7 linked regions of the Oryctolagus cuniculus genome follow. The protein of the gene in region 1 purifies or fractionates together with the protein of each later gene. This does not show direct contact. Links are inferred from orthologs where the notes say so. Each region holds a gene or a part of one and is shown in the gene's direction. Other genes may lie near its edges.

Region 1 (3,116 bases):
TGAGTGCTTAAGACCTTTTTCTGTAATACAGCAAAAAGTTAAGTGTAAGTATGTTCATCTTTGGAAAAAAATTTCATGAGAGAGAAAGGCAGGCAGGCAGACAAAACTCTAGGTAAAACCTAGTTTTAAATGGTCTCATATAGCTCCCATCTGCTGGTTCACTCTCTAAATACCCACAATAGGCTGGACTGGGATGGGCAACCTGGAATTCAGTCCAGATCTCCTGCATGAGTGGCAGGAACCCAACTACTTGAACCAACGCTACTGTTTTCTAGGGTCTGCAATGGTAGGAAGTTAGAGTCAGAGCCCAGGTACTTGATGTGGAACACAGATGTCTGAACTGGCATCTAAACCACCATGCTGAACACCTACCCCTGTTTAGTATTTTTTAACTGAAGTAAAAAGTTTTTGAAGTAGGGGTGAGTGCTCTGGCACAGGTGGTTAATCCACCTCCTGCAGTACAGGCATCCCATAAGGGCTCTGGTTCAAAGCTTAGGTGCTCCTCTTCCCACCCAGTTCTCTGCTGATGTGCCTGGGAGGGCAGCAGAATATGGCCCAGGTCCCTGGGCCCCTGCCAACCACTTTAGAGACTGGAGGAAGCTTCTGGCTGCTGGCTTTGGCTTGGCCCCAGCCATAGTTGTTGTGACTGTTTGGGGAGTGAACCAACGGATGGAAGATCTCTGTTTCTCCTTCTCTTTCTCCCCTGCCAACCCCCCCTCCCTCTTGTAACTTTCAATTTAAAAAAAAAAAAAAATTCAAGTGGATTTTTGTTACAGTATTAAATCGTGTCAGAGATTAAATCAGTTCCTTAGGAAACCAGTCATGTCCACAGTTTAAAAAAAAACTAATATCATTGGTGACTTTGACAAAGTTTATTGGTCCTGTCCTATAACATTATATGTCTTTCAACATGACTATGTATAATATAACTAGTTTTGATATTCATTTTAATTGAGTTCCAAGAAAAGGGAAATGTAATCATTGGTTTCAGCTTCTGAATGTGATGTCTTTTTAATGTTGCAAATAAATTTCTCTATCTGCACTGCAGAATGCTGGATCTGGGTAGTTTTTACATGGCTTTTAGTAAAACAGTATTTTTTTGTACTGATTTAATGTTAAGTTTTGTTTTTATTCCCGGTGTCTAACTTTTAGACAAAGCATCTCCATTTCTAATATCTTTAGGATTCAGGAGAGTTTTAGTTTTAGTTTTTGATGGATTTCCCTTTTATTTTGTATTTCACCACCTTTGAATACTTAACTTCAATTTGTGTTTTGTAGGATGATGTGTGAAAAAGATTCTTTTTTCAGGTTTGATTTATAATAGGATAAAGTTTAAACATTTTGTATTTATAGTAAGATTTCTTAGCATATTTAAAGTATGTTGTCATTCTGTCGACAGTGGATGATGTGCAGTGTTTCCAAAGTGACCACTGAAACATTTTTTTCTTTTTAACTTTATTTAAGTTTTGTAAGTTTCATATATTTCATATATAGATTTATGAACATAGTGATACTTCCCACTGTACCCTCCCTCCTGCCCATACTCCAGTCTTTCTTCCTCCTCCCTCTTCTATTCCCACTCTTAATTTTTACAAAGATCTATTTTCAGTTTACTTAATGATCATAAGGTTAACCCTACACTAAGAGTTCAACAAATATGAAAGGAGCTACTGTTTTGTGTTACTCTAATTAGGGAAATGTATTAAAATAACATGATGCTACTTTGAAGATAAAAGTACTGTGTAAATATTTGACCAAAAGAAAGATTAAGGTGCTGTAAGCTTTATTTTATATCTTTTGAAGTAGGAACAATTTGTAGTTGAATAAGGAATGATTTTTGTAGTGACACATAGTGTCACATTGATTTACCAGCACAATACTGTGATTAAAACAGTGGTTCCTCCCAACATGTTTCCATGTTTCAGGCACACAAAAAATGATTTAATATATATAAATGTGTGTGTATATATATATATATATATATATCTCCTCCCTTGGTGGTAAATTAATGAGCCAAAGTCCTTATTCAATAGGATTTATGCCTCCACACATGTGTGGCATCTTCATGGTATGTTCATCATAATTCACCTGTTAAGGAAAACAGAGCTTTGATGTAGTATATTACCTTCTGTTTTTATATACTATTGCAAATATTTCCAAGTCTTGTATGTCCTACAAAGTATTTTAGGATGATTTTATTGTTGTGCTTGTAATAATATCACTTACTACAAGGGAAAACAATTTTGCTCTGTAAGGAAATGGAGCTGCTAGCCAACTGTGATGCAGATGGACTGCTGTTTCTTTCAGTGTTTACTGCTTCTGCATTACACTTTAAATTCTTTCTGAATCTTATATAGACTGCAAGTTAACAGCTAAGAACTCATTGTAGACCTCTGTTGTTCTTTTTCCAAAATTGAGAAGAGTGTGTGGTATGTCAGCTACTGTAATTCTAGTGATAATGCTTTTATGGAAACAGTTTATACCTCTTAAAGTTTTAGTTGATTCTGACCCTCAAATGTTTGTGCTAGGTAGCTGAATTCTCAGGCAGCCATCAAGCAGTATTACATATGAGATGTTCATTTTCACTGCTTTAATTTCTAAGTGAAGGAGGGATTTATGAAAAATATATACAAGAGAATACCTTACAGAATGAAGTAATAAATAATTTAGTATTTTGCTTTTTATTCTCATATAGGTTGTATATGAAAATCAGTTCCTTTTCTTGTTTTTATCAAAGATATGTGAGTGATTTTATATTACTATGTTGAAACACACTTTTGTTTTAAAATTGGAGGCATGAAAACTTGCATGTGAAAAGTAAAAATTTACCATGTAAATTAATTTTTTTAACTCAGGAACTCCAGAGGAGGTGTAATACCTTGATTACTTTGATTGAAAGAGAAAACATGGAGCTAGAAGAAAAGGAGAAGGCAGAGAAAAAGAAACGAGGACCAAAGCCTTCAGTAAGTATTCGGATATATGTAAAGATTATATAAACTTCATTTTCCTCTAAATACTTCAGTGCTATTCGGTTATCACTGATGTGTTAGTCTTTTTCTCTCCTTAAAATAGTTAATACAATCAATTTTGTACTTTTAAATGAGAATTATCTGGGA
Region 2 (3,500 bases), on another chromosome or scaffold:
AAGTCTGAGAGCAGGTATAATGGCACCTCTTGGAATGCCCACATCTCATGTTGGAGTGTTGGTTTGAACCCTGGCTATTCCATTTCTAATCCAGCTCCCTGCTGATGTACTTAGGAAGTAGCAGATGATGACTTAAATGCTTGGGTTCCTGACTTCTGGGTCCAGCCTTGCCCAGCACCAGCTGCTGTAGCCCTTTGTGTAGTTAACCTGGAAATGGAAATGTAGTTAACATGGAAATGGAAGACTGTGTGTGTGTGTGTGTGTGTGTGTGTGTGTTTCTGCCTTTCAAATAAATAAATATTTTTTAAAAACTTAAAGTTTGAAAGTCATATACATTAATTGATATTTTGTTAGTGTTCTTGTGTGTATATAAATCTGTATATATTTTGTACTGATTATACTTGTATTTATGATATAAATTCCCTAGTTTCTATTACCTGTCTGATACTTATTGAATATTAACTTGAAGCAAAGAACTGTTGTTGCATTGTTGTATCCTGGCTTGACATACTCACTGGTTCCTCCCAGGAGACTCCTGTGCTTACTAGAATAGAAAAACAAAAACGAAAAGAGGAGGAAGAAGAACGTCAAATTCTTCTAGCAGTGCAGAAGAAGGAACAGGAACAGATGTTAAAAGAAGAGAGGAAACGTGAGTTGGAGGAAAAGGTCAAGGCAGTGGAAGGTATGTGGGCATTTGTGCTGTCTGGAGGGGTGCATGTTGTGCAGGAAGAAATCTGCAGCCAGATCCCAGTCAAGCTAGGGTCCTTCATTTACGGATGGTACTGTCGGCAATTCTTATTGAAGTATCTTGTGATTGTGTTCTGTCATGTTTCTTCCAAGCTCAATGAATCTATTTCTGTGGAAGCACTTGCATTTATCATTCTGCGTGTACCTTCTGATCTCTGCTGTGCCTCACACGTGGAGCAAAAAAAAAAAAAAAAAAAAAAGATATTGATGACAACTGATTTCAGATGTAACTTTGAACACAAGTGAGATATGCTTAAGAAAAGTCTCATAGTTTAAAGCACACCATTCCCAGTCTAGAATATTACCATTAGTATTACAAAGATAAACTAGTTTTCTCAGACCTAGGTCCAGGTAGATTTTGGTCTTGGACTTTGGTGTAAGGAGATCTTATCTAACTTTCTTTTTCTTTTTTTCTCTCTCTCCTCTCTTTCTGTTTTTCTTTCTTTTCTAGATTTATTTATTTTTATTATTTGAAAGGCTGAGTTATGGTTGGAGAGACAGAGATCATACATCCACTGGTTCACTCCCCAAATGGCCACAAGGGCTGATCCAAAACCAGGAAGCCAGGAGCTTCTTTAAGGTCTCCTCCATGAGTGTAGGGACCCAAGTACTCGAGCCATTTCCAGGCACACTATCCGGGAGTTGGATTAGAAGTAGAGCATCCAGAACGGGAACCAGTGCCCATGTGGGATGCTTTACCCACTACCCCACACTGTTGGCCCCAGGTTTGACTTTTTTAATACAGTGTTTCAGTGAAAAATTCAGGAAATGGAAATAAAAGACTCTGGCCTTAAATCATTTTTTTCTTTCTATTCCTAAGTTGCACTTCTATTACGTAACCATCTCTTCATTCATTCACAGTTCCTTAGTGCACAGACTGATTTAGCCTGTTATTTTATGTGGAACATGTAAGAGCCTGTCTATGTTCTGTTTTCAGTGTTAGATTTAAATTCCTCAAGGCAATAACTATTGCTTTTATTTCTGTATATGTTTCAAATGAAATTATATCTCTTTTAAAGATTTATTTATTTATTTGAAATGAAGAGTTACAGAGAGGCAGAAAGAGAATCTTCCTTCCGTTGGTTCACTCCCCAGATGGCTGCAATGGCTGGAGCTATGTTGATTGGAAGCTAGGAGCCAGGAGCTTCTTCCTGGTCTCCCATTCTGGTGCAGGTGCCTAAGGACTTGGGCCATCTTCTACTGTTTTCCCAGGCCATAGCAGAGAGCTAGATCAGAAGTGGAGCAGCCAGGACTAGAACCGGCGCCCATATGGAATGCTGGCACTGCAGGCGGCAGCTTAACCTGCTGTGCCGCAGCGCCGGCTACGGCTCTGACTCCTCCGACTAATCATTTTTGAACACTGATTCTGTGCAAGGCTCTGTACTGGGTCTATGGTAAAGAACAAATTAATTTCTTCCTTTCCTGGAGTTTACATTTTAATGGTGCATAAACAAATATTATTGAATTATAGATAACAGTGAGAGGTATAAATAAAGTAGACATACCAATAAGAACAACAAAATTGAAGTGACATTTAGATAACATTTCATGAAAGACTTCTGTGAAGATGTCAATGTCTAAAGGAGGAAGAGTGTTGTATAGGCAGACAGAGTAGCAAATGGAGAGGCTTACTTGTACCGTGGCATTTTGTGTTCATTACAGATCGAGCTAAGAGAAGAAAGCTCAGGGAAGAAAGGGCATGGCTGCTGGCTCAAGGGAAGGAGCTCCCCCCTGAACTTTCCCATCTGGACCCCAACTCGCCCATGAGAGAAGAGAAAAGGACCAAGGACCTGTGAGTATTCAATAACCACAATAACAGCACTAGTACTGCGATACAATCCTCTGTGGAAGGTAATAGTGTCATCCCTTAAGGTTGAGAAAAGAGGAAGTGACAGGTGCAGGCATCACTCACAGCTGACTATAGAGCTCTTTACCACGCATGCACAGACACAAAGCGAGTGGGACCCTTTCCTTTCCCTTTTACATTCTTGCTTCCTGTTCTTCAGAAGCACAAGTGGTATTTATACACAAAGCTCTTATTGTTTCTCCCAATTCTTTAATGAAATTTTACACACTCCCTGTGAAGTTGCCAGGTACTGGTTTTTTGTTGTTGTTTGTTTTTTTTTTTTAAAGATTGATTTATTTATTTGAAAGAGTTAAACAGAGAGAGGATAGGCAGAGAGAGAGAGAGAGAGGTCTTCCATCTCCTGGTTCATTCCCCAACTGGCTGCAGTGGCCAGAGCTGCCCCAGCCTGCAGCCAGGAGCTTCTCCCGGGTCTCCCACGTGGGTGCAGAGGCCCAAGGACTTGGGCCATCTTCTGCTTTCCCAGGCCATAGCAGAGAGATTGGAAGTGGAGCAGCCGGGTCTCGAACCAGTGGCCATATTGGATGCTGGCACTGCAGGTGGCGGCTTTACCCACTATGCCACAGCGCTGGACCCAGCATTGTGTCTTTATGCTTCTTGCTGAAAATCAGGAAACAAATATTGAGTATTCATGAGCTCATTCTATTGTATGCTTTTGTGGGTTTTCAGATCACTAAAATATTCATTATAACTAATGTTAAGTTGTAGATCATCTAGGCCGGCCTCATCATGTTTATAGATGAGGAAAAATATATTCCCACATTTGCATCATTTTCATGTTGTTTTCATGGGTGTTAACCAGTTTGTTAAGAATGTTTGAAATCTTACTGTATCTGAAGAGAATTAGAATTAGTAATAATTTTTCATTTTATGATTTACAGCTTTGAGC
Region 3 (4,182 bases), on another chromosome or scaffold:
GAAGCAGCTGGGATTGGAACCAGCACCGGAGGTATCTTAACCTGCTACAACGTTGCCCCCCCCCAACATTTAAAAGCCATGAGATTTCACAGGAAATCCACATTTCCACACGCTCTTGAAAACATCTGAGGAGCTGGTCATGTTAGGCCTGCATTTCAGTAACCATCCCTTTCAAACAAAACATGGCCACTTTTACTTTTTTTTTTTTTTTTTAATATTTATTTTAAAGAGTTAGAGAGAGAGGGAGAAAGAGATCTTCCACCCACTGGTTCACTCCTCAAATGGCTACAACAGCCAGGGCTCCCTCCCATCAGGGACTCCCAGTGGGTGGCAGGACCACCTGCCCATTCCATTTTCTTTCATTACTTACCTGGGCCCAGTGGGTATGTAAATTTGTCACCTTGGGTGCTCAACTGAATCGTACTGAATGCGTTAATTTGGCAATTAGTGCTTCTATATTAATTTTCATTTCGCATGTGTTTCTTCCTCCTAATTGGGTCGAAACAAGCCATTTGGTGGGCAGAATCCTGCTAACTATTATTTCTCGAAATTACTTCTCGGTCGTCACATACTTGAGTAAGTAGCATTACGTGTGTATAACCTCCAGACCAGGCCTTGCCCCGCCGGGATCGAGCGCCCCCGATTTGGGCTGCCTGGGATATCATCACCACGGTCGCTTGCCTGGGCTAAACTGAGACCAGGTGAACTCGTCAGGTAAAGCTATTAAAATCCTCTCGCAATAATAGAAACATACAAGGCGCCGAGGTCGACCGCAGGTGGGCTGCCGCCTTTTCCAAGTTCCGGCCGCGGGGGTCCGGCTCGCAGCGGGACACGGGGGCAGGTGCCCGCGAGACCCCCGGAGGCCTTCCGGGTGTGGACGCCCCGCCAGGGCCCGGCAGCCCGGGGCGTGGCTCGCGACGGGTCCCCCGGGTCCACTTCAGGACTCTCGGGAGTTGCAGGTTTCTGGGGGGCTCGTTCCCGCCGGCGCCGCGCCCTCAGTGGTGACACTCGGGCACTTTCAGCATCACTTTCCCCACGCGGGCGGGAAGGGGGCGGTATGTCGGGGCTCCCCTGCCCTCCTCTCCGCCACCGGGGAAGGGAGGCGCCGGCGGAGGCCCTGCCGAGGCCGGGCGTCGCGCGGGGGGCTCCCGTCCCCCGGGGCCTTCGGCGGGGGGTACTGGGGAGGGGGCTGCATGCCCCTCTCTCCTGAGCGCCGCCGGCGCCCGCGGTCCCGGAGCGCCGGGCCCGGCTCCCCGCCCCCGACTCGGCGCTCCCGCGCTCCCTCTAGCGGCCGCCGCGCGGCCTCGCTCCGTCCCAGGCTCGTCGGCGGCGCAGCTCACGTGACCGCGCTCCGGGCCTGCGGCCGCTGTCGGTTCCCCCAGTCACCGAGCGAGAGGGAAGAAACAAGATGGCGGCTGAAGGCGATCCGGAGTGGGGCCCCAGCAATTCGGACTGAGCCTTCTCCCTCCACCCGCTTCCGCCGGCCGGGCCCCTCCCGCCCGGCCCCGCCGGCCTCCCCACCCGGCCCCGGCGCCCCCCACCGCCCCCACCCCGCGCCCGCCCCTCCCCCCTCCGCTTTCCCTTCTCCCCCCCGCGCCTCGGCTCCGACATGAGGGGCCGGCGGGGCAGGCCGCCCAAGCAGCCCGCGGCTCCCGCTGCGGAGCGCTGCGCCCCGGCCCCGCCGCCGCCGCCGCCGCCGCCGCCCACGTCCGGACCCATCGGGGGGCTCCGCTCGCGGCACCGCGGCAGCAGCCGGGGCAGGTGGGCCGCCGCCCAGGCTGAGGTGGCGCCCAAGACGCGGCTGAGCTCGCCCCGGGGGGGCAGCAGTAGCCGGAGGAAGCCGCCGCCGCCGCCGGCCCCCCCCAGCACCAGCGCCCCGGGCCGGGGGGGGCGAGGAGGCGGGGGCGGCAGGACGGGGGGCGGGGGCGGCGGCGGCCACCTGGCCCGGACCACCCCGGCCCGGAGGGCGGTCAACAAAGTGGTGTACGATGACCACGAGAGCGAGGAGGAGGAGGAGGAGGAGGACATGGTCTCTGAGGAAGAGGAGGAGGAGGAGGAGGACGGCGACGCCGAGGAGACCCAGGATTCGGAGGACGACGAGGAAGATGAGATGGAGGAGGACGACGATGACTCCGATTATCCGGAGGAGATGGAAGACGACGACGACGACGCCAGTTACTGCACGGAGAGCAGCTTCAGGAGCCATAGCACCTACAGCAGCACTCCAGGTACCCACCCAGCCCGGTGGCTGCAGGCTGCTTCCCCGCCGCCTCCCCCTCCCCCTGCTCACTCCCTCTCGAGTGCCGGGCATCCTGCTCCGGCCTCCCCCCACCCGCCTCCCCCCCCCTCGGACGGAGGGGAAATGCGACGGCACAGCAAGTGGCAAAAAAACTAGATTTACAAGAGGAAAGAGGCGCATTGTTCAAAATGGAGATTGCATTGTTGCAGTTTGCAGGCCACACGCTCGCTCGCCCTCTTTCTCTCCCCCCCAGCCCCCTCTTTTTCCTCTTCAGAATTTGTGCCAGTGCAGTGGCTCCACCGGGCAGGATCGAAACTTTGGCACTCGCCTATCCATTGCATTCATTTTTCTCCCCTTGTTTTGGTGTGGTTTTTTTTTTTTTTTTTTTTTGGAATGAAAGAAGCCTCTTGTTTTGCAAAAACCTCTTTGCATTTCTAATGTGGGCTCTTTGAGATTTTTATTATGTATCCCTTCCTTAAAAGGGAATTAAGGATTGGGACAGATTGTGGCACACAAACACGCACAAAACACGCTTCTCTTCGCACGCCTAGCTGGGCGGCTTACAAAATCGCGTGAAAGAGATGGGTCGGTGGACTGAGTCGGGAAGCCTTATCTGGTCCCGTGTTTGTTTTTATGCTTGGAGGGCTAATGGGCCGGTGCAACAGTTGCTAGTCAATTGCTGATTAAAAAGCAGTGCAGAAAAGCGCAGGAAAGCAGCCTTGGAAATGCACCCGATCTCCCAGAGCACCTTGGTGAGTCCACAGCAGAAGTGCAGAGGGGCAGGCAGGGCCGCCGCCGCCAGCCTGGTCCCTGGGCTGCGCTCGGGCTGAGCCGCCTCGCGTCACCTGTTGCGGAGGCCGTGGAGGTAGCTGATCGGGCAGTCGGCCTTGCCGGAGATGAACTTTTGGGATCGCTTCTCAGTTCCGCGGCAGAACGAGCAGATCTGTTACTCATTTTGTCCTTTTCCGTTTTGTTTCTGAAGAAAAAAGCCCTCCCTGGCGCTGGAGTGAAGGCTGCTCCGAGTGTTTTCAGAAAGTTCCTCTAGGAGATGCATTTGGTTAAGCACACTCGCAGCTGCTGCTTTGTGTGAAATCCGTGGTTGTGGCTCACTAAATTGTGAGGGGAAAAAAGAAGTAACTTGTAGCAGCAATCTGCATGACCTTTATATATTGTTAACCTCCATGAACTAAATTACAATTTGGTGTTAAGAACGTTTACAAAGTAAAGTTTATGAGGAAATGAGTTATTTTTAGAGAGACTAGGGTAGTAGAAGCAGTTAGAAGGAAATGTTTTTTTTTTTAAATAAATGCTTACATATGGGGGAAGTGTGGGTACTAACAGGTGGACGCGCACTTAGATTGCCCTGACATTAAATGAAGAAAGGTAGTTCATTTCTTTGGGCTGACAGGACAGCTGCCTGTCTTGCTCCCAAGAACCGAGCGTCCGGCACGCTTGTCTCCTGTGCAGAAGGAGCTAGATGCAAGTTTTGTCATCTCCTGTGGCAGTAGTTGTCACTGAGCAGTCGCAGGTTCATCCCCTGTGTGGAATCATGGAGACTGACTGACTGCCACCACTGCAGGAAGTTTCCCGGTTAGAGCTAAGGCTGGCAGGCAGGCGGCTCCGCTAACTTTCACTCCCATCTGAGGGCCCAGCAAATCATGCTAGGGGGGTTGATGGCTGTGCTGAGTTGAAGTACAGTTTGTGGTGAGGCTTCCTGTTTTTTTTTTTTTTTTTTTTTTTTTTAGTACTTGAATATTTGTGATACTTCCTTGACATTTTGTTTTTCTTAGCGACGCTGGTAGCCTAATTTGTGTATGCTTGTCCCATCCATATATAAAATTAACTCCTTAGTGGTAGGTATTGATGTTATACTCCCTGAGCTCTAAACCAGTGTTTGGCATGTAGCAGGTGCTCATCAAAGATTGATTGGATACGCAATTATT
Region 4 (3,500 bases), on another chromosome or scaffold:
GCTGATCCTTACCTTAAAAGAAGGGCTATGTGGCTGTTACAGGTAACTAATAGACTGTGCTCTTCAGTGTGCACATAACAGATTTTGCATGTTCCTCTAGACTGAAGGGTATCGGTTTCTTATAGTGTCTTAGTCTACTCAGACTGCATACCAACAACAGAGATCTGTTTTCTCATAGTTCTGAAGGCTGGAAGTCCAAGATCAGGTGCCGGCAGGGTTGGTGTCTGGTGAGGTCTCTGACTGGCTTGCAGATAGCATCTTCTTGCTGTGTCCTCAGATGACTTTTTCTCTGTGTATACCGAAGAGTGAGTGCTCTGGTGTCTCCTCCAATTCTTATGAGGACACCAGGCCTGGCAGATTAGGGCTGCACCCTGTGACTTCGTTGGACCTTAATTTTCTCCTTAAAGGCACTGTCTCCAAATGACATCACACTGGCAGTGCTTCAGCAGCATGAATAGGGGTAGGTCACAGTTCAGCCTCTAACAGTAATAACTTGGGGTAACTTTGTATCTCGTGTTTTTCTAGTGAAAATTTCAAACATATGACAGTGATAAATGTTTTTTCAGCTACAGGGAAAAGAGATCAAAGTGGATTTAAAGAACTTATCAAGCAAGAAGAGATCAACTGTGTAACAGGAGAGCCTCTTAATACTGATGAGGAAGAAGCTTTAAAACAAGAACACCAACGAAAAGAGAAAGAGCTTTTAGAAAAAATCCAAAGTGCCATAGCATGCACCAATATCTTTCCCTTGGGCCGTGACCGCATGTATAGACGATACTGGATTTTCCCTTCCATTCCTGGATTGTTTATTGAAGAGGATTATTCTGGTCTCACGGAAGACATGCTGTTGCCTAGACCTTCATCATTTCAGAGTAATGTACAGTCTCAGGATCCTCAGGTATCCACCAAAACCGAAGAGTCTTTGAAGTCTGAACCTACCTCCAACGTTGACCAAGGTCTGTGTGATGATTCTGTGCAGCTGCCAAAACCAGTGCATAAGCCAAATCGGTGGTGCTTTTACAGTTCTTGTGAACAACTGGATCAGCTTATTGAAGCCCTTAATTCTAGAGGACACAGAGAAAGTGCCTTAAAAGAAACTTTGTTGCAAGAGAAAAGCAGAATATGTGCACAGCTAGCCCGTTTTTCTGAAGAGAAATTTCATTTTTCAGGTATAGTTTCAGTGAAAACTATTTCTTTTATTTTTTCTTCTGCAGTCACCAGTCATTGAGTAAACATTTTTTGTGATGATTAGAAGTCTATTTAAAACACCTCATCTTCATTTTGACCCTGCTTTCAATTTGCAAGTTAGAATTTAGGAATCTGTCTTTTTTGTGAGACAGAGCTCCCATCCACTGGCTTATTCTCCAGATGCCCACAGTGCTTGAGGTGGGGATGGGGAGTGCTGAAGCTAGGAGCTGGGAACCTTGTCCAGGTCTCCCGCATGAGTGGCAGGGATCCAGCTGCTTGAGCCATCGCCACTGCCTCCTAGGGCCTGCAAATTCCACTGGGGTCTATTTTGAAAATGAGGAACACATTTGCTCATTGTACACATTCTTCCTGTTCTCATTCCTTGGTCAATAGACTGAATGTCCAAAGCTCTAAGGCTGCCATCAGTTTTGGAGATAGTATAGTAGGAATGAGGTTACTCACTAAGCATTTTAGCTGACGGTTCCAGGACAGGTTCCATAAATGATCACTTTTATGGAGATTGGTTGCAGTGGGAGATCAGGTAGCAGCAGCATTTCCTATTTGATGGCTGATCCAATGAGGATAGAGAAAGCAGTAGATATTTTTTATATTGTTAAATGAGATTCTTTTGGTATAGAGCCGCTTATATTTAGAATCAGTTTACTGTGACTTTTTCAGTTCTTCCTAGGATTAAAAACCATAGCAAATAATTCCTTCTTTTTGAAAAATAGCTTTAACATACTGTCTAATTACCTACATAAAGTTAGAATTCGGGAGTAGATGTTCAGTGTAGCAGTTAAAATACTGCTTGGGACATCTGTATCAGTGCCTGGATTTCAATTGTAGCTCTGCTTTCAGTTCCATCTTTCAACTAATGTGCACACTGGGAGACAGAAAGTGATGACTCAAGTATTTGCATCCCTTACACCCACATGGAAGACCCAAGTTGAGTTCTCAGCTCCTGCTTGGCCCAGCTCTAGACGTTGTGGGCATTTGTAGAGTGAACCAACAGATGGGAAGTGGTGTGTGTGTTTCAAATAAATACTTCTAAGGTGCAAGTGTTACTACATTCCATTTTAGGACAGTTTTATCACCCAAGAAGACAATAACCCTGTACCATTGGCAGTCTCACTTCCCCTCAGTCCCTTGCAACCATAACTATCTCTATAGATCACCTTGTATGTATATAACACATTTTACTTACCCATTTGTTAGTTGATAGATATTTTGTTTCTACATTTTGACTGTTATGAATAATGCTACTATACACATTCACATTTAAGTGTTTATGTCAACATAGATTTTCATTTATTCTGAACACGTACCTAAGAGTAGAATTGCTGGAAACTGGTTAATCCTTTGAGAAACTGCTAGATTGTTTCCCAGAACAGCTGCACTATTTTATTTTCCCTCCCCAGTGTATGAAGGCTGCAATTCTTCTGTGACCTTGCTGACACTTACCTGATTTTTATTACAGATATTCTACTGGGTATGAAGTGGTACTTCATTGTGGTTTTGATTAATGATGTTGAATACATTTAAGTGAACTTATTGGCCATTTGTATATCTTCCTTAAAGAAAAGTCTACTCAGTTCCTTGGCCCATTTTTAAACTGGGTTATTTGTCACTTTCTTAAATTATAAGAGTTCATTCTGGATAAAAGTCCTTTACAGATGCATGATTTGCAAGTATTTATTTTTTATTTTTGGTACTTGAGGATTTACAGAGTGCTTTTTTTTCATTATCTCAAAATTATAACAGTCACATAGGACTGTAGTTTTAATAAAATCATAATGGAAGTATTTGATTACTGTTTTAGACAAACCTCAAGCTGATAGCAAACCTCTGTGTACTCGGGGAAGATCTTCCAGTGCATGTGATCCATCTCAGATGTCTGCAGAAAGGCAACTTGAACTGAGACTGAGAGACTTTCTTTTGGATATTGAAGACAGAATCTATCAGGGAACATTAGGAGCAATCAAGGTTTGTACCTTTCCCCATTTTTAGTGTATACAATTTGTGTGTTCTAGGATTTTGATCATATTTGTTCATTACTTGATATGTAAGTCACCTGTATTTTGAATAAACACCAGGGAATGATTTTTTTTAATGAAAATGTAAGTTTATGCTCCTGCATAAAATGTTTATATATAAATATATACTTTCTTAAATATTTTGAATGACAGTTTTCTTAAACAGAATTTAATGGCCGGCGCCGCAGCTCACTAGGCTAATCCTCCACCTTGCGGCGCTGGCACACCAGGTTCTAGTCCCGGTTGGGGCGCCGGATTCTGTCCCGGTTGCCCCTCTTC
Region 5 (4,282 bases), on another chromosome or scaffold:
TGACAGATTTGGTCCTTCCTCTTTTGAAACCATTATTCTAGTGGTACATTCAGACAAGCTGTGGGCAACTGTAATGAGGTAAAGGTTGAGCCAGAGAGGCACAAGGCATAACCACCATGGAAAGGCACATGAACATATTTGGGGAGAGCAGGTTAGGGGAATCTTCTCGAAGGAAATAAAGTATCATTTCAGACTTTCACTGTGTTGGTTCTAGGGGACAATATTAGCTTCTACTAAGTTAACTTGTTCTGATCTCAGAATTTTCCCAATTTTGGACTTGATAAACACTTGAATCAATACCACATAATCAACCGCACCCAAGCCAAGGTTTCTCCCACCAGGGTTCTTGCACCAACTGTGGTCTTATTAAAACTACAAACAGAAGGGTTGGGAAGGGTGTGGCAGGAGCCATCCTTGACACACCTTTTCTAAATCTCATGGGGATGTGGTCCAGGAAAATTGCTGCTCCGATCATAAATACCGTTGTCAATTTGGAAAAGTGAAAAAAAATAAAAATAATATTTTTGAATGTGACTTTAAACGGCTCCTGCTTCAATACAGGTCTCTCCACTCCCCTCTTTTCTTGACTGGGCATATGGGAGACAGCCTGCATGTGGGCAGCGTGGGAAGGTATTGTACATGACTTAGGAAACAAGTGCTACACTGCGGGCTGTCTTCACTGTTCCCAGCAACGTGGCTGGCTTAGGGTAGGTGCCTGATAAATGCTGATTTATTGAACGCAGGGTCACAGGCATTTGTAATTTCCAAATGTTTGAAAATCCTTTCTCCTAGCGTCCTATCCAGTGTCTAGTTTCGTGGAAAAGCCAGGGTATACGGAGTTTGGAAAAAGACGGAGACCAAACTCCCAACTATCAGCAGCTGCGAGGGCCAATTTAATCTGCTCCCAACTACAAGAAACAGAAATAGTACTTACACCCCGGTATCGGAGGGAAGCTTTACAAAAGTGCAGCATTTATTCTAAGTGGGTATCAATGAAACACTACTCTAAATGCAAACACTTTTAGAACCCTGCCCCACACAAATGAATTTTATAAATGTCCATTCAAACCCAAGCGGTACACTCTTCCTTGAAAGCTTACAATAGGTCAGTGTCCAGAGCACTTAAAAGCCAAAAAAAAACCGAAATATTAGTGAACAGATGAGAAAACCATGCGACCACGTCCTGGGGCCGCGGGCGAAAGCCCCGCAGCTCGAAGGCCCGGAAGGAGAACGTGAGTGGTCTTTCCCCGCCCGGCGCACGGCACGTGGTCGGCTTGGGCGGGAGCTTCGCGACAGTGGGGGAGGGGAACAGCGTGGGACGACACCGAGGGGGTCTAGACAGCCAAGGCTACGGTTGAGCAGGCGCCGACTGCGCAGGCTCGGGATAGGCGCAACCACTGCGCGAAGATCCGAGGGTGGGAACACACACAAGGGTCGTCGTTCTCTTGGTATTGCTGAGGAGGAGCCTGCCTTTTTCATAATTTTAAGGCTTTGAATGGCGCTGTTCCCCGCAAGCTGTTCATCACTATAAGGATTCTCACCCAAGCCTGAACCGGCCTCTTTCTCTGGTCATGCCCCTCCCTCCCCCGTGGAGGACTCAGTGGACGCGTCCCACCTCCCCTCGGCCTCCGGAGGTGGTTTGGCGGCCCCCTCCCCCTCCCCAGTGTCGCGAGTTGGCGCCGCTGCCACCCCCGCTCCGCGCTCTCGGCCCCCTCGGCCGGGCTGTACCGAGCCCTCCGGGGACCCTCCCCCTCCGACCTGCCCTTCCCCGCGGGGCGGCATCCCCCACCATCCCCCTAGCCTTTCTCTCCGCCGAGCCGCGGCGGCAGCTGCAGCCACAGCAGGAGGAGGAGCCGGAGCCCGGAGGCGGCGGTGGCCGGGGAACCCATGGCGTACAGTCAAGGAGGCGGCAAGAAGAAAGTCTGCTACTACTATGATGGTGAGAGGCCGGGTGGGCGGGTAGGGCTGGGTCGCCGGGCCGGGGGCCGCGCCGGGCTCTCTGGCCGCCGTCGCCAGTGGGTGCCGGCTCAGAGGGGTGGGAAGGAGGAGGGACCGACGCTTGGCCGCATCTTAACCCGTTGCGGACCCGACGCGGCCAGCGGGAGACCCTGCACCTCGACCCCCTCCTGCGGACCCTGCGGGCGGGAATGGGGGAACGCCCCGCTTGCTTTCTGCCTCTGTCTTCGGTCGTGCGGCCCGCAGCCCCCAAGGTGGCCGGCTGTGGGGACCACACTGGCCTAGCCCCGCCGGTGGTAGTGGCGAGGGGGTCGGCCCTCCCTGGCACTTCACCCGCCTCTCGTGGCATCGCGGTTTTGGGGGACCCCTTCGCCGGCATCCCGCACCCGATCCTTGCCCCCCTGAGTCAAAATTCCTACCCCGGCTCTGACTACACAAAGCCCAGCGGCCGCAAAGCTCCGCCCCTGCAGCCCCCTCCGGTGCCCCTGCCCCCGCTTGCGCCCCTCTGCTCGCGTCTGGCCCGGGCGCCTTCTCTCTCCGCTGGCAGCCGCACCCCGGACCCCTCGGCCCGGGGCGATGCCGGAGTGGGGGTTACTGGGAGTGGGAACCCGAGTCCGGCGTGCGGCGCCCTCACCCCCGTGTTCTGCGTGGGCTGCATCCCTCTCCTTTGTTCACCCGGCTCTTTGAGCGCCACTTTCTCCGGATTCAAATTGATGGGCTCCACTTCCTCCGTAACAATTAGGGATTTCGAGTTTGAGGCTGGCAGTTGGCGCGGCGAACGAGAGAGGAAAATGAAGAGCTGTGTTCCTGCTTGTGTTGTAGGTCAGACTCGATGGGTCCTGGCTTGCCCGTGTGGGAGGTGGTTACCACCCACTTCTTTGTTGTTGCTCTTTGTTCGATCAGGAAGTAGACCCTGCTTTGGAGGTGTAGGGGACCATGGGCATCTGGCTTGTGAAGGCTGTTCTCAGGTGGTGGGGATCCTGATGTAGAAAAACTGGAGGGAGTAGTGCAGGAGGACTAAGGAGTTTAATCAGGTAAGCTTGAGCTCACGGTATGGTGAATTATAAAAATCAGGTTATTTAATTTTAGGGATTCTGTAATACAGAGTAGCGTCAGTAACATTACAACTCTGGATTCTGCGTTCTGTGCCAGCCTAAGTTACACTAAATGGAACACTAGCTTAAGAGATTTTACAAAGATCTGAACTCTAATAGGTTACCCTTTGGGAGAAAGAGTACTGAAATTTAACAAAGCCAGGCTGAGTGATCTCACAGTCCTAATTGTGGGAAGCAATACGAATACAGATGTGAGAAGCCGTTTCTTATGGATTGTATACTGTAAATCACAACTTTAGAAAGGTAGCTAAGGTCAGTATAAACCTGGCTGTAACAGCAGAACCGTGCCCCTTCATTTAGCAAGGATCCCATTTTTTAAAATGCCAGTTTTATATGAAATAGCCATCTGAGTCATTTGTGGGAAATTATGTATTATGGGAAAAAATTTAAATTGACCCATAATACCTGGGACAAAATAGGAACAGCCTTGTTTTAAAATGTATCCTTTGAAGGACTGCAAATTGATTTGAAATTATACTGGGGCTGTAGAGATGGGAGTACATTTTAACATGAATTTTATTGCATATTTGGGTTGTTGGCAAAACCTTTCCCCCTACCTTCTCTAGTTAAATTGGAAATGTAACAACCTTATTTTTATTTTAAAATATTTATTTGGGAGTTAGAGGGAGCGATAGATAGAGATCTTCTATCCACTGGTTCACTCCCCAGTTGTCCACGATGGGCCAGGTGGAAGCCAGGAGCTTCTTCTGTGTCTCCCACATGGAAAGCAGGGGCCCAAAAGCTTGGGCCATCCTCTTTGCTTTGCCTACGCCATTAGCAGGAAGCTGGATCAGAAGTGGAGCAGCTGGGACACAAACCTGTGCCCATATGGGATGCCAGTGTTGCAGGCTGTAGCTTTACAGCCCGGGGGTTGTTTCCAGAGTTTAGAGATTTGTTTTTTGGCAGGACTTGGAACAAAGGGAAAAAATTTAACAAGTTGCAGAAAGTGGTGCTCAGTGTCTGTCAGTTGTCACTTGCTGTTGGCAGTGATGGGGTCCATGGAATAAAGTGCTCGCAACTTTTTGTCAGCAGGCTTAAACTGTAGGAGCAGGAGGTATGCTTGGGTAGCAGTTTTCTGAGAACTGTTTGTTCCTCAGCCCATTTATGATAAGCCTTTGTTGAGAGTGGGGGCAGACATTGGTCCCAGGGGCAGGATGCAATTGGGTAGAGTGGAAGATGTTTGACAGTCTTGATTTGTGTTAGTCAGTACT
Region 6 (3,500 bases), on another chromosome or scaffold:
AGATTATTTTGGTTATTCTGGGTCTCCTTCAGTTCTGTGAGTTTCTTTTCTTTTCTTTTTTTTTTTTAAGTTTTATTTATTTGAAAGAGAGACAGAGCTTGTATCCGTTTGCTAGTTCACTCCTCAAATGTCTGGACCTGGGATCTCAGAGTGGGTGGCAGAACCAGCTATATGAGCCATTACCACTGCATCCAAGGATTTGCAGTCTCAGGAATCTGGAATCTGGTATTGAACCAGGTACTCCAGTGTGAGAGGAGGACACTGGGCTAAATTTTGCAATTTTTTTTTTTAAAAAGATTTATTTATTTCTTTATTTTAGAGACACACAGAAAGGTCTTCCATCTGCTGGTTCATTCCCCAGATGGCCACAATGGCCGGAGCTAGGCTCATCTGAAGCCAGGAGCCAAGAGCTGCTTCTGGGTCTCCCACGAGAGTGCAGGGATCCAAAGACTTGGGCCAGCTTCTGCTGTTTTCTAGGCACACTAACAGGGATCTGGATTGGAAGTGGAGCGGCTAGGACTTGAAGCAGTGCCCATATGGGTTACTGGTGCCACAGGTGGAGATTTAACCTACTACACCATGGCGCCGGCCCCAGGAAAATGAGTTTTTCTTTGATTGAGAAGCGGCCATTACTCTGAGTCTCTTTGTATCATTTACCTTCATTCTTGACAATCATACAATATCATTAGCAAACTTTATTAAAGGTGAGATTAATATAATACTAAAATAGTATTTTTTTTTTAATTTTTGAAAGTAATAGCTTTAGACAGATGGCACTGTCCAGATCCTCAATAATATTGTAGTTGTTACCTCAGTAGAGGGTTAAGGATTAAAAATCCTGGCATTGTTGGGGCCAGTGCCGCGGCTCACTTGGTTAATCCTCTGCCTGTGGCGCCAGCATCCCATATGGGTGCCGGGTTCTAGTCCCGGTTGCGCCTCTTCCAGTCCAGCTCTCTGCTATGGCCCGAGAGGGCAGTGGAAGATGGCGCAAGTACTTGGGCCCCTGCACCGGCATGGGAGACCAGGAGGAAGCACCTGGCTCCTGGTTTCAGATCGGTGTAGCTCCGGCTGTTGTGGCCATTTGGGGGGTTAACCAACAGAAGGAAGACCTTTCTCTCTGTCTTTCTCTGTCTAACTCTTATCTGTCAAAAACAAAACAACAACAACAAAAAAACACCTGGCATTGTAAATCAGTACTCTCTGCAGTATTAAAGTCTGTGACAGTTGTAGAGACAGTTTGAAGGCAAGATTACAGGCTTTTGTTTAGGGAAGTGAAATAAACCCATGCAGTGACTGATGAAAGTGTTTTCCTATTAGCAGTAGTAATTTGCTGAACAGTGTAGAAAAGTGATATTCCGAGTACATTAAGTATGATCCACAGGTGCTTCCTTGCCCTTGTTTTCTCAGTTCTTTTTTCTTGTCATCAAAGCTATTGAGCTGAGTAGCTGTCTGATTCCTGAGGACTGAAATATGGTTCATTTTTGAAATAACTGTTTTATTCATCATGGTCTTTTGGAGGATCCTGTGATTATATCTGTCTAAAAGTGTTCCATTTTATCGACTGTTAGGAAATGTCACCAGGGTTGTTTAAAATGTCTTAACCGGAAGTTAAGTTTTGGAGAGAAAGGATCTGGCACTTTTCACTGTATGTCTTAATTTGTAAGAGTGGCGTTATTAGGAAAAAATAAGTCTTCTTTTGTCTTCAACAGTCAAACTAGAGCGGGAGGCTGAAGAAGAACGGATACGGAAGCACAAAGCAGCTGCCGAAAAGGCTTTCCAGGAAGGTATCGCCAAGGCGAAGCTCGTCATGCGCAGAACTCCTATTGGCACCGATCGAAACCATAACAGGTCAGTTACTAAGCATAGCTGCTCTGTCTTACGTTATTAGTCATGAAACTGTGTCGTGCTCCTGCTGAGTTTCCCAGATCTGTTTGGAGACAGAAGTGCTTATCACACATTTACTGAATATTAACTGCTGAATGTTAGGGTAGCAAAATTACCCTTTGAAGATACCACAGGTCTGAAACTTACGTTATATAGGGGCAGACACTGTGTCCCACATTGGAGTGTGTGGCTTTAAGTCCTGTCTCTGTTCCAGATCCCAGCTTCTTGCTAATTCTCACTCTGGGTTGGTAGGTGACGACTCCTATGATTGGGTACCTGCCACCCATGTGGGAGACCTGGGTTGACCTCCCAGCTTGTGACTTTGGCCTGGTCCAGGTCCGGCCATTATATGCATTTGGGAAATGAACCAGTAAATGGGAGATACCTGTCTGTCTGCCTCTCTTATTTATTTATTTTTTATTTTTTTTGACAGAGCGGACAGTGAGAGAGAGAGACAGAGAGAAAGGTCTTCCTTTGCCGTTGGTTCACTCTCCAATGGCTGCCACGGCCGGCGCAGTGCGCCGATCCAAAGGCAGGAGCCAGGTACTTTTCCTGGTCTCCCATGGGGTGCAGGGCCCAAGCACTTGGGCCATCTTCCACTGCACTCCCTGGCCACAGCAGAGAGCTGGCCTGGAAGAGGGGCAACCGGGACAGAATCCGGCACCCCGACCAGGACTAGAACCCGGTGTGCCGGCGCTGCAGGCGGAGGGTTAGCCTATTGAGCTGCGGTGCCGGCCCTGTCTGCCTTTCAAATAAAACGCATAAAATAAGAGAAATGTCGACCAAATATAGTGTCGACCAACACTTTAATATTGTTGATTATTTTAAAGGTATACATTACATGGAACCTAAAGACAGAGAAATACTAGATGTTATAAAAGTTACAGACGTTATATGAGTCTCAGACTGCAGAAAATGTAGTATCCTTCGCTTTCCCCTGTGGTTGGTGTCTGTTGAATTTTGAGCAAAGAGAGCGTTCCTGTCTGTGGTTGTGAATGGTCTGTGAGGCTCTGTGACACGCGCAGTCGTCCCGCAGTCCTGACTAACGTGTGGTTGTGGTTTGTAGATACTGGCTCTTCTCAGACGAAGTTCCAGGATTGTTCATTGAGAAGGGCTGGGTACATGACAGCATTGACTACCGATTCAACCATCACCGCAAGAAGCACTCGGACTCTGCTGACGAGGATTCCTGTCCCCGCAGTAAGTTGTCCGCTCCAGATGCTCCCTGACTTGATAGAGCTGCGTCCTAACCCATCGCAAGGCAAAAGTGAGTCAGGACTCACCTGCCAGGCGTCCGCTCCACAGCGCAGCGCACTGCTGAACTCGGCTGTTTCCCCTCACGCTTGCTGCGCTGTCGGGGAGTTGCGGCTCTGGCGCCGCTGGCTGGCCGCATGAAATCAGCGGCCAGGGAAAAGGTTCCTAGCGAGTGTGCCGCCTGCCCACCATCACAGAGTGGGCGGGTGGTACAGTGGAGGCAGTGTGACTGGGGTGAAGAGTCGCAGAAAGGCAGAATCTTCATCTGCTGGTTTACTCTCCAAATGGCTGTGATGGCTAGAGTGGACCAGGCTGAAGCCAAGAGCCCCAACTTGAATCTGGGCCTCATTTGGGCCATGGCA
Region 7 (3,991 bases), on another chromosome or scaffold:
TGAAAACTGATTTTTGTTAAGATGGAGTCAGAAGGGCCCCCTCCACCTTGGCTGGGTGGTTAGGCCTTCATTTCTTCAGAGTGCCCCACTTCGGGCAAGCCCGGACTTGCATGTTGGATTCCTTGAGGCTCTGCAAGGGTATAAAGTAGCATGAGGCCTAGTCTGAGCTCTGCTAAGAAAGTTCAGGACAGAGAATCTGTTGCACAGAAGTGGCAGTTTGCAGGGTTGCTGGCTTGCACTGCTGAACTAAATGGAGTTCAATCATTTCCCATTCATTTTCGCCCACTAAGAGGTGTAGAGTGGGAAGATAGCACCATTTCAATTTACAAAATAACGCAAGGTCAGACTTGGTGCCCCTTGTGTTCCGTTCCGGACCCAGACCCGTCCTACTGCCCTCTTGTGGTAGTCGGGACCCGGTCTGCAAGAATTCTGATCTCACCATTTTGAAATCCCTGAGGGCCATTTGCTGGGATGTGATTCTCGGCAAATGACTGTTTACAAACCAGCTGGGGCTTTTGTCCTGAGGAGGAGCCTGTTCCTCCAAGCCCCACCTCCTGGGACCTTCAGTTGGGTAGGAGCTGGGCGGAGACAAGCTGAGCTCCCAATTCAGAGGCCCCTGGGGGCTGAAGGCTGGGGAGGGGCCTTGGGAGAGGCGCCCGGGGTGGAGTAGGGGCCTCTGAGCTTCCTCCCATCTGCCTATGACGTCCTTGGCACCAGTCTCCCCTGTGTCAGGATCTGGACGGAAGGTGGAGCCCCGGAGCTGCTTGTGCCCGGTAGTTTGCTCCCAGAAAAGCTCGACTGGGGGAAATGCTGAGTTATGGGGGTTGGGACACTTCCTCCAAGTCCCGACCTGAGTGGGGAAGATAGTGGGGGGAGGCCCCAGGGTATGGATCAGCCCTTTCCGCTTTGTTTTCCCACACCGCCCAGAGGCAGACCTGGGAACCTAAAGGTTGTTTGCATCCCTCCACCCCTTCGCGTCCTCCAGCATTTGTCTAGAACATTCTCCCTCTCACCCGGCTGCAACCGCTTATTTCCTTCCCTCTTTACCGCACCCTCTCTGTGCACGCCGCTGGAGTGTCAACACAGCCTAACCTCCCTCCATATTTCTCCTGGTCTGCCCTGTCCTCGCCTCCTCCCTCTCTCCACCCAGAGAAAGCCCCGCCCTTCCCTCCTCCCTCCCCACCCGGGTCTGTCACACAGGGACATCACCCTACAGCAGTTCGGGCTGTGTGGCTCGCAGGAAGCATACATTGGCCTTTTGGTTCTTGCTAGTTCCCAGCTCACAGTTTGGGAGGATCCTACAGCAAGCCTCCCAGCAAGAAGGGGGTCCAGCAACAGCGAGGAGCTGGGTGGTCCCAGCCTTGAGCCCTGGCAGCCTGACATGGGTGAGTCTGGGGACCAGCCCCGGGGAAGGCCTGAGGGATGCCTAGCTCCCTCCCTGGCTGACTCAGCAGGGGTGGGGCTTAACCTTTGCTCGTTTGGGGGGTGAAGGAGGGGAAATGAGACTGGGGGGGGGGTACAGGGCTCAGCTGGTGAGGCTGCCGCCTGGGATCCTGAGCATTGGCAGGCTGGAGCTCTTAAGGAACAGTGAGGCTGTACCTTAGGCCTGGGCGCCCCCCACCCCCACCCGCGTGGAGTATGGCCCCTCGCTCCTCCCCATCTGAGCTGCTGGGAGTCCAGTCTATAAAGAGTACTCACTGCTGGCCCCCACAAGAGCAAGCAGTGTTGGAGGGTCTCCACGGTGTCTCCCCTAAGCCTTAGTCTCAGGCCTTTAAATCCCTGGCTTCTCTCTTCCCCCACCCTGACCCACCACCAGGTGGGGGCTGCCCTGAGCAGCTGCTTCCTGTTGCCCGAGGTGGCTGCAAGGGTGGCCATGGTGGGGATACTGAATTAAGAGTAAAGCCGCCCCCAGGGTCCCACAGCAGCCTCCCTGCAGCTCTGCTGATGGCCTCCACGCCACAGTGCCGGCGGCCCTTAGGCAGCGCTAGCATGGAGGCTGAGCTCCCAGGAGGCAGCTGCCCTCGTGGCTTCCTGATTCCACAGCCCCCGCAGCTGTAGGGACGCGGCCCCAGAGGAGCTAGGACGCCGGGAACCTGTTCCCCTAGTAGGGCGCCGTGCGTGACCCCCCGCACGTCAGGCCTGGAGTTCCCTCTCCTGCACTCCAGGGCCTCCTCTGGGCTCCTGCAGCGCGGGCACCGGCTCCCAAGTTCAGGCCCACTGCCGCCCCCCACTTCCCCGTAGAAGTTTCTGCGTCCTCTCGGGATCCGTCCTGTTCCGCCATCTGGGACCTTTCCTGGGTCTGGCCCTAGGAGACGCCTCCCGCTGCCCCCTCCCCGAGCGCTCGTCCGCACCCCAGCGGCTCCTGCCCCTTTAAGCGCCACCTCCCCCGCGCCGCCGCCGCCGCCGGCCCAGGGCTGGGGGAGGAGGCGTCGCCGCCGCCCGGCTCGGCCACCTGCGCCGCCGCCGCCGCCGCCGCCCGCGGCCCGGCTCAGCTCCAGGTGAGGCCCGGCACCCACCTCCGGACCCGGAGCCCCCGGGCGGGCCGCTGCCGCGGTTGCCTGGCCCAGAATTCAGGACTGGACGCTCCCGCTGCGGGAGCTGCCCTTCCTCTTCTCTCCCCCGCACTATCGACTCGGCCGTTTTTTTCCCCTGTCCTCTGCCGCCCGGAATCCGGAGGCTCCTCACGCCCCTCCGCCGTCCTCCCCGGCGACTCCTCCAATTCTGGGCCGTGGGGGGGGGGGGCTCCCTTTCTCGCGCCTTCCTCGCCCAAAAAAAAAAAAAAAAAATCTCCCGCGGGCTGGGCTTCGCCTCCTCCCCTCTGGAACGAGCGCTTTCCCACGCCATCCTAACCCCGATGGGAGGGGGAATAACCGCCACCCCCTCGCCTCTCCTTCCCCGTAGTAAGGGGCGGGGGAGCCGCAGCGATTACAGTCGCCGCGCCGCCCTGCAAGTTCAGCTAAGTCCTAGCTGAAGCCGCTCTGGGGCCCTCACCCCCTCCCAGGGCTCCCAGAGTTTGGGGTCCGACCTCAGCACCGCCTACTGAGCCCAGGTGGGAAGGGCCCTCTTCTAGGGCCGGGGTTGGCGGGTCCAGCCTGGGAACGCCCCTCCCCCAGAATCCCGGAGCTGGGGGGGCGGGGATCTTGTGTTTCAGGATTTAAGGGGCTGTTGGTGGAGAGTGGGGCGCGGGGCTGGGGGAGTGGGGGCCGGGGGCCTGTGGGAGTTGAGTTGGTGGGGAAGGCCAGGGAAGCACCGCTTTCTGTATTCAGATGCAAAGAGAGCCCCCACCCTCAAAGGAAACAGAATTCTCCATTTTCTAGCAGCTTCGAGGAGAAGCCCTTTGGGAAGTTTGGAAACCGGGCTGGATCTGAGGTGGTCCATTCCGACCTGGAGGGGAGAAGGGGAGGCCACCATTCCCCCAAAGTATGTCGTGGGGAGCTATTCTGCTTTGACCTGTGGGGGGGAGGGGTTGGAGAGGTTATAGGGTTGAGAGCCGGCTCCTTCCTCGCCTTCCTCGCGCCTGTCCGTCAGCGTGACCCATTCTGCCATGGCCGGGAAAGGAGGTCTTTGAGGACTGCCCATTTCCACTGGGAGTCCTCCCTCCCTGATCCAGCTGGGCCCCAGCTCTGTGGCTAGCCTTGGTGTCTTCACTGCCCACTGCCCACCTCCAGAAGTGGCGGCCTGGGTGTCAGGAGGGTCTTCAGACTACTGAGTGGTGTTCCAGCGGGCTTGGGAGGAGAGAGGGCTGCTGGTGGGAGTGTCTGCAAGGTAGAGGGATGCCAGCGAATCCCTGGGCTCTCTTCCCCCGCCTGGAAGTGGAGCCCGACGCCATGGCAGCGCCCCAAAGTGCGGGAGGTGCCACAGGAACATGGGGGAAGCAGGTGCTAAGTTCTCCCTCCCTCCATTGCTCCTGGCTCGAGGGGGGCCCAGTCTGTTCCCCAGACACTTTTCTAACAAGTTGCTAATAAAATGGCCCCTTTCCCCCTTTCTTGGG

Evidence for each region.
Region 2: the proteins of SMARCA5 (region 1) and CECR2 purify together in Homo sapiens (affinity purification with mass spectrometry; 3 studies listed by BioGRID and IntAct, with this or other methods). This does not show direct contact. The link is inferred for Oryctolagus cuniculus from reciprocal best matches to the Homo sapiens genes SMARCA5 and CECR2.
Region 3: the proteins of SMARCA5 (region 1) and BPTF purify together in Homo sapiens (affinity purification with mass spectrometry; 4 studies listed by BioGRID and IntAct, with this or other methods). This does not show direct contact. The link is inferred for Oryctolagus cuniculus from reciprocal best matches to the Homo sapiens genes SMARCA5 and BPTF.
Region 4: the proteins of SMARCA5 (region 1) and BAZ1A purify together in Homo sapiens (affinity purification with western blotting; 8 studies listed by BioGRID and IntAct, with this or other methods). This does not show direct contact. The link is inferred for Oryctolagus cuniculus from reciprocal best matches to the Homo sapiens genes SMARCA5 and BAZ1A.
Region 5: the proteins of SMARCA5 (region 1) and HDAC2 fractionate together in Homo sapiens (co-fractionation; 5 studies listed by BioGRID, with this or other methods). This does not show direct contact. The link is inferred for Oryctolagus cuniculus from reciprocal best matches to the Homo sapiens genes SMARCA5 and HDAC2.
Region 6: the proteins of SMARCA5 (region 1) and BAZ1B purify together in Homo sapiens (affinity purification with western blotting; 11 studies listed by BioGRID and IntAct, with this or other methods). This does not show direct contact. The link is inferred for Oryctolagus cuniculus from reciprocal best matches to the Homo sapiens genes SMARCA5 and BAZ1B.
Region 7: the proteins of SMARCA5 (region 1) and BAZ2A purify together in Homo sapiens (affinity purification with western blotting; 3 studies listed by BioGRID and IntAct, with this or other methods). This does not show direct contact. The link is inferred for Oryctolagus cuniculus from reciprocal best matches to the Homo sapiens genes SMARCA5 and BAZ2A.

The regions. Positions count from the first base shown.
Region 1 is NC_091439.1:20,991,710-20,994,825, reverse strand, and holds part of SMARCA5 (SWI/SNF-related matrix-associated actin-dependent regulator of chromatin subfamily A member 5), read left to right. Parts: intron 1-2,855; coding exon 2,856-2,963; intron 2,964-3,116. UniProt on the Homo sapiens protein: ATPase that possesses intrinsic ATP-dependent nucleosome-remodeling activity.
Region 2 is NC_091440.1:97,388,311-97,391,810, reverse strand, and holds part of CECR2 (chromatin remodeling regulator CECR2), read left to right. Parts: intron 1-528; coding exon 529-682; intron 683-2,409; coding exon 2,410-2,539; intron 2,540-3,492; coding exon 3,493-3,500. UniProt on the Homo sapiens protein: Regulatory subunit of the ATP-dependent CERF-1 and CERF-5 ISWI chromatin remodeling complexes, which form ordered nucleosome arrays on chromatin and facilitate access to DNA during DNA-templated processes such as DNA replication, transcription, and repair.
Region 3 is NC_091448.1:13,813,639-13,817,820, forward strand, and holds the start of BPTF (nucleosome-remodeling factor subunit BPTF), read left to right. Parts: upstream 1-1,382; 5' UTR 1,383-1,609; coding exon 1,610-2,228; intron 2,229-4,182. UniProt on the Homo sapiens protein: Regulatory subunit of the ATP-dependent NURF-1 and NURF-5 ISWI chromatin remodeling complexes, which form ordered nucleosome arrays on chromatin and facilitate access to DNA during DNA-templated processes such as DNA replication, transcription, and repair.
Region 4 is NC_091443.1:40,734,629-40,738,128, forward strand, and holds part of BAZ1A (bromodomain adjacent to zinc finger domain protein 1A), read left to right. Parts: intron 1-407; coding exon 408-460; intron 461-566; coding exon 567-1,169; intron 1,170-3,007; coding exon 3,008-3,171; intron 3,172-3,500. UniProt on the Homo sapiens protein: Regulatory subunit of the ATP-dependent ACF-1 and ACF-5 ISWI chromatin remodeling complexes, which form ordered nucleosome arrays on chromatin and slide edge- and center-positioned histone octamers away from their original location on the DNA template to facilitate access to DNA during DNA-templated processes such as DNA replication, transcription, and repair.
Region 5 is NC_091436.1:57,413,417-57,417,698, forward strand, and holds the start of HDAC2 (histone deacetylase 2), read left to right. Parts: upstream 1-1,482; 5' UTR 1,483-1,887; coding exon 1,888-1,939; intron 1,940-2,847; exon of another isoform or gene 2,848-2,990; intron 2,991-4,282. UniProt on the Homo sapiens protein: Histone deacetylase that catalyzes the deacetylation of lysine residues on the N-terminal part of the core histones (H2A, H2B, H3 and H4).
Region 6 is NC_091450.1:50,548,075-50,551,574, forward strand, and holds part of BAZ1B (tyrosine-protein kinase BAZ1B), read left to right. Parts: intron 1-1,709; coding exon 1,710-1,848; intron 1,849-2,950; coding exon 2,951-3,084; intron 3,085-3,500. UniProt on the Homo sapiens protein: Atypical tyrosine-protein kinase that plays a central role in chromatin remodeling and acts as a transcription regulator. Involved in DNA damage response by phosphorylating 'Tyr-142' of histone H2AX (H2AXY142ph).
Region 7 is NC_091442.1:59,379,538-59,383,528, reverse strand, and holds the start of BAZ2A (bromodomain adjacent to zinc finger domain protein 2A), read left to right. Parts: upstream 1-1,191; 5' UTR 1,192-1,381; coding exon 1,382-1,385; intron 1,386-2,383; exon of another isoform or gene 2,384-2,498; intron 2,499-2,799; exon of another isoform or gene 2,800-3,049; intron 3,050-3,396; exon of another isoform or gene 3,397-3,420; intron 3,421-3,991. UniProt on the Homo sapiens protein: Regulatory subunit of the ATP-dependent NoRC-1 and NoRC-5 ISWI chromatin remodeling complexes, which form ordered nucleosome arrays on chromatin and facilitate access to DNA during DNA-templated processes such as DNA replication, transcription, and repair.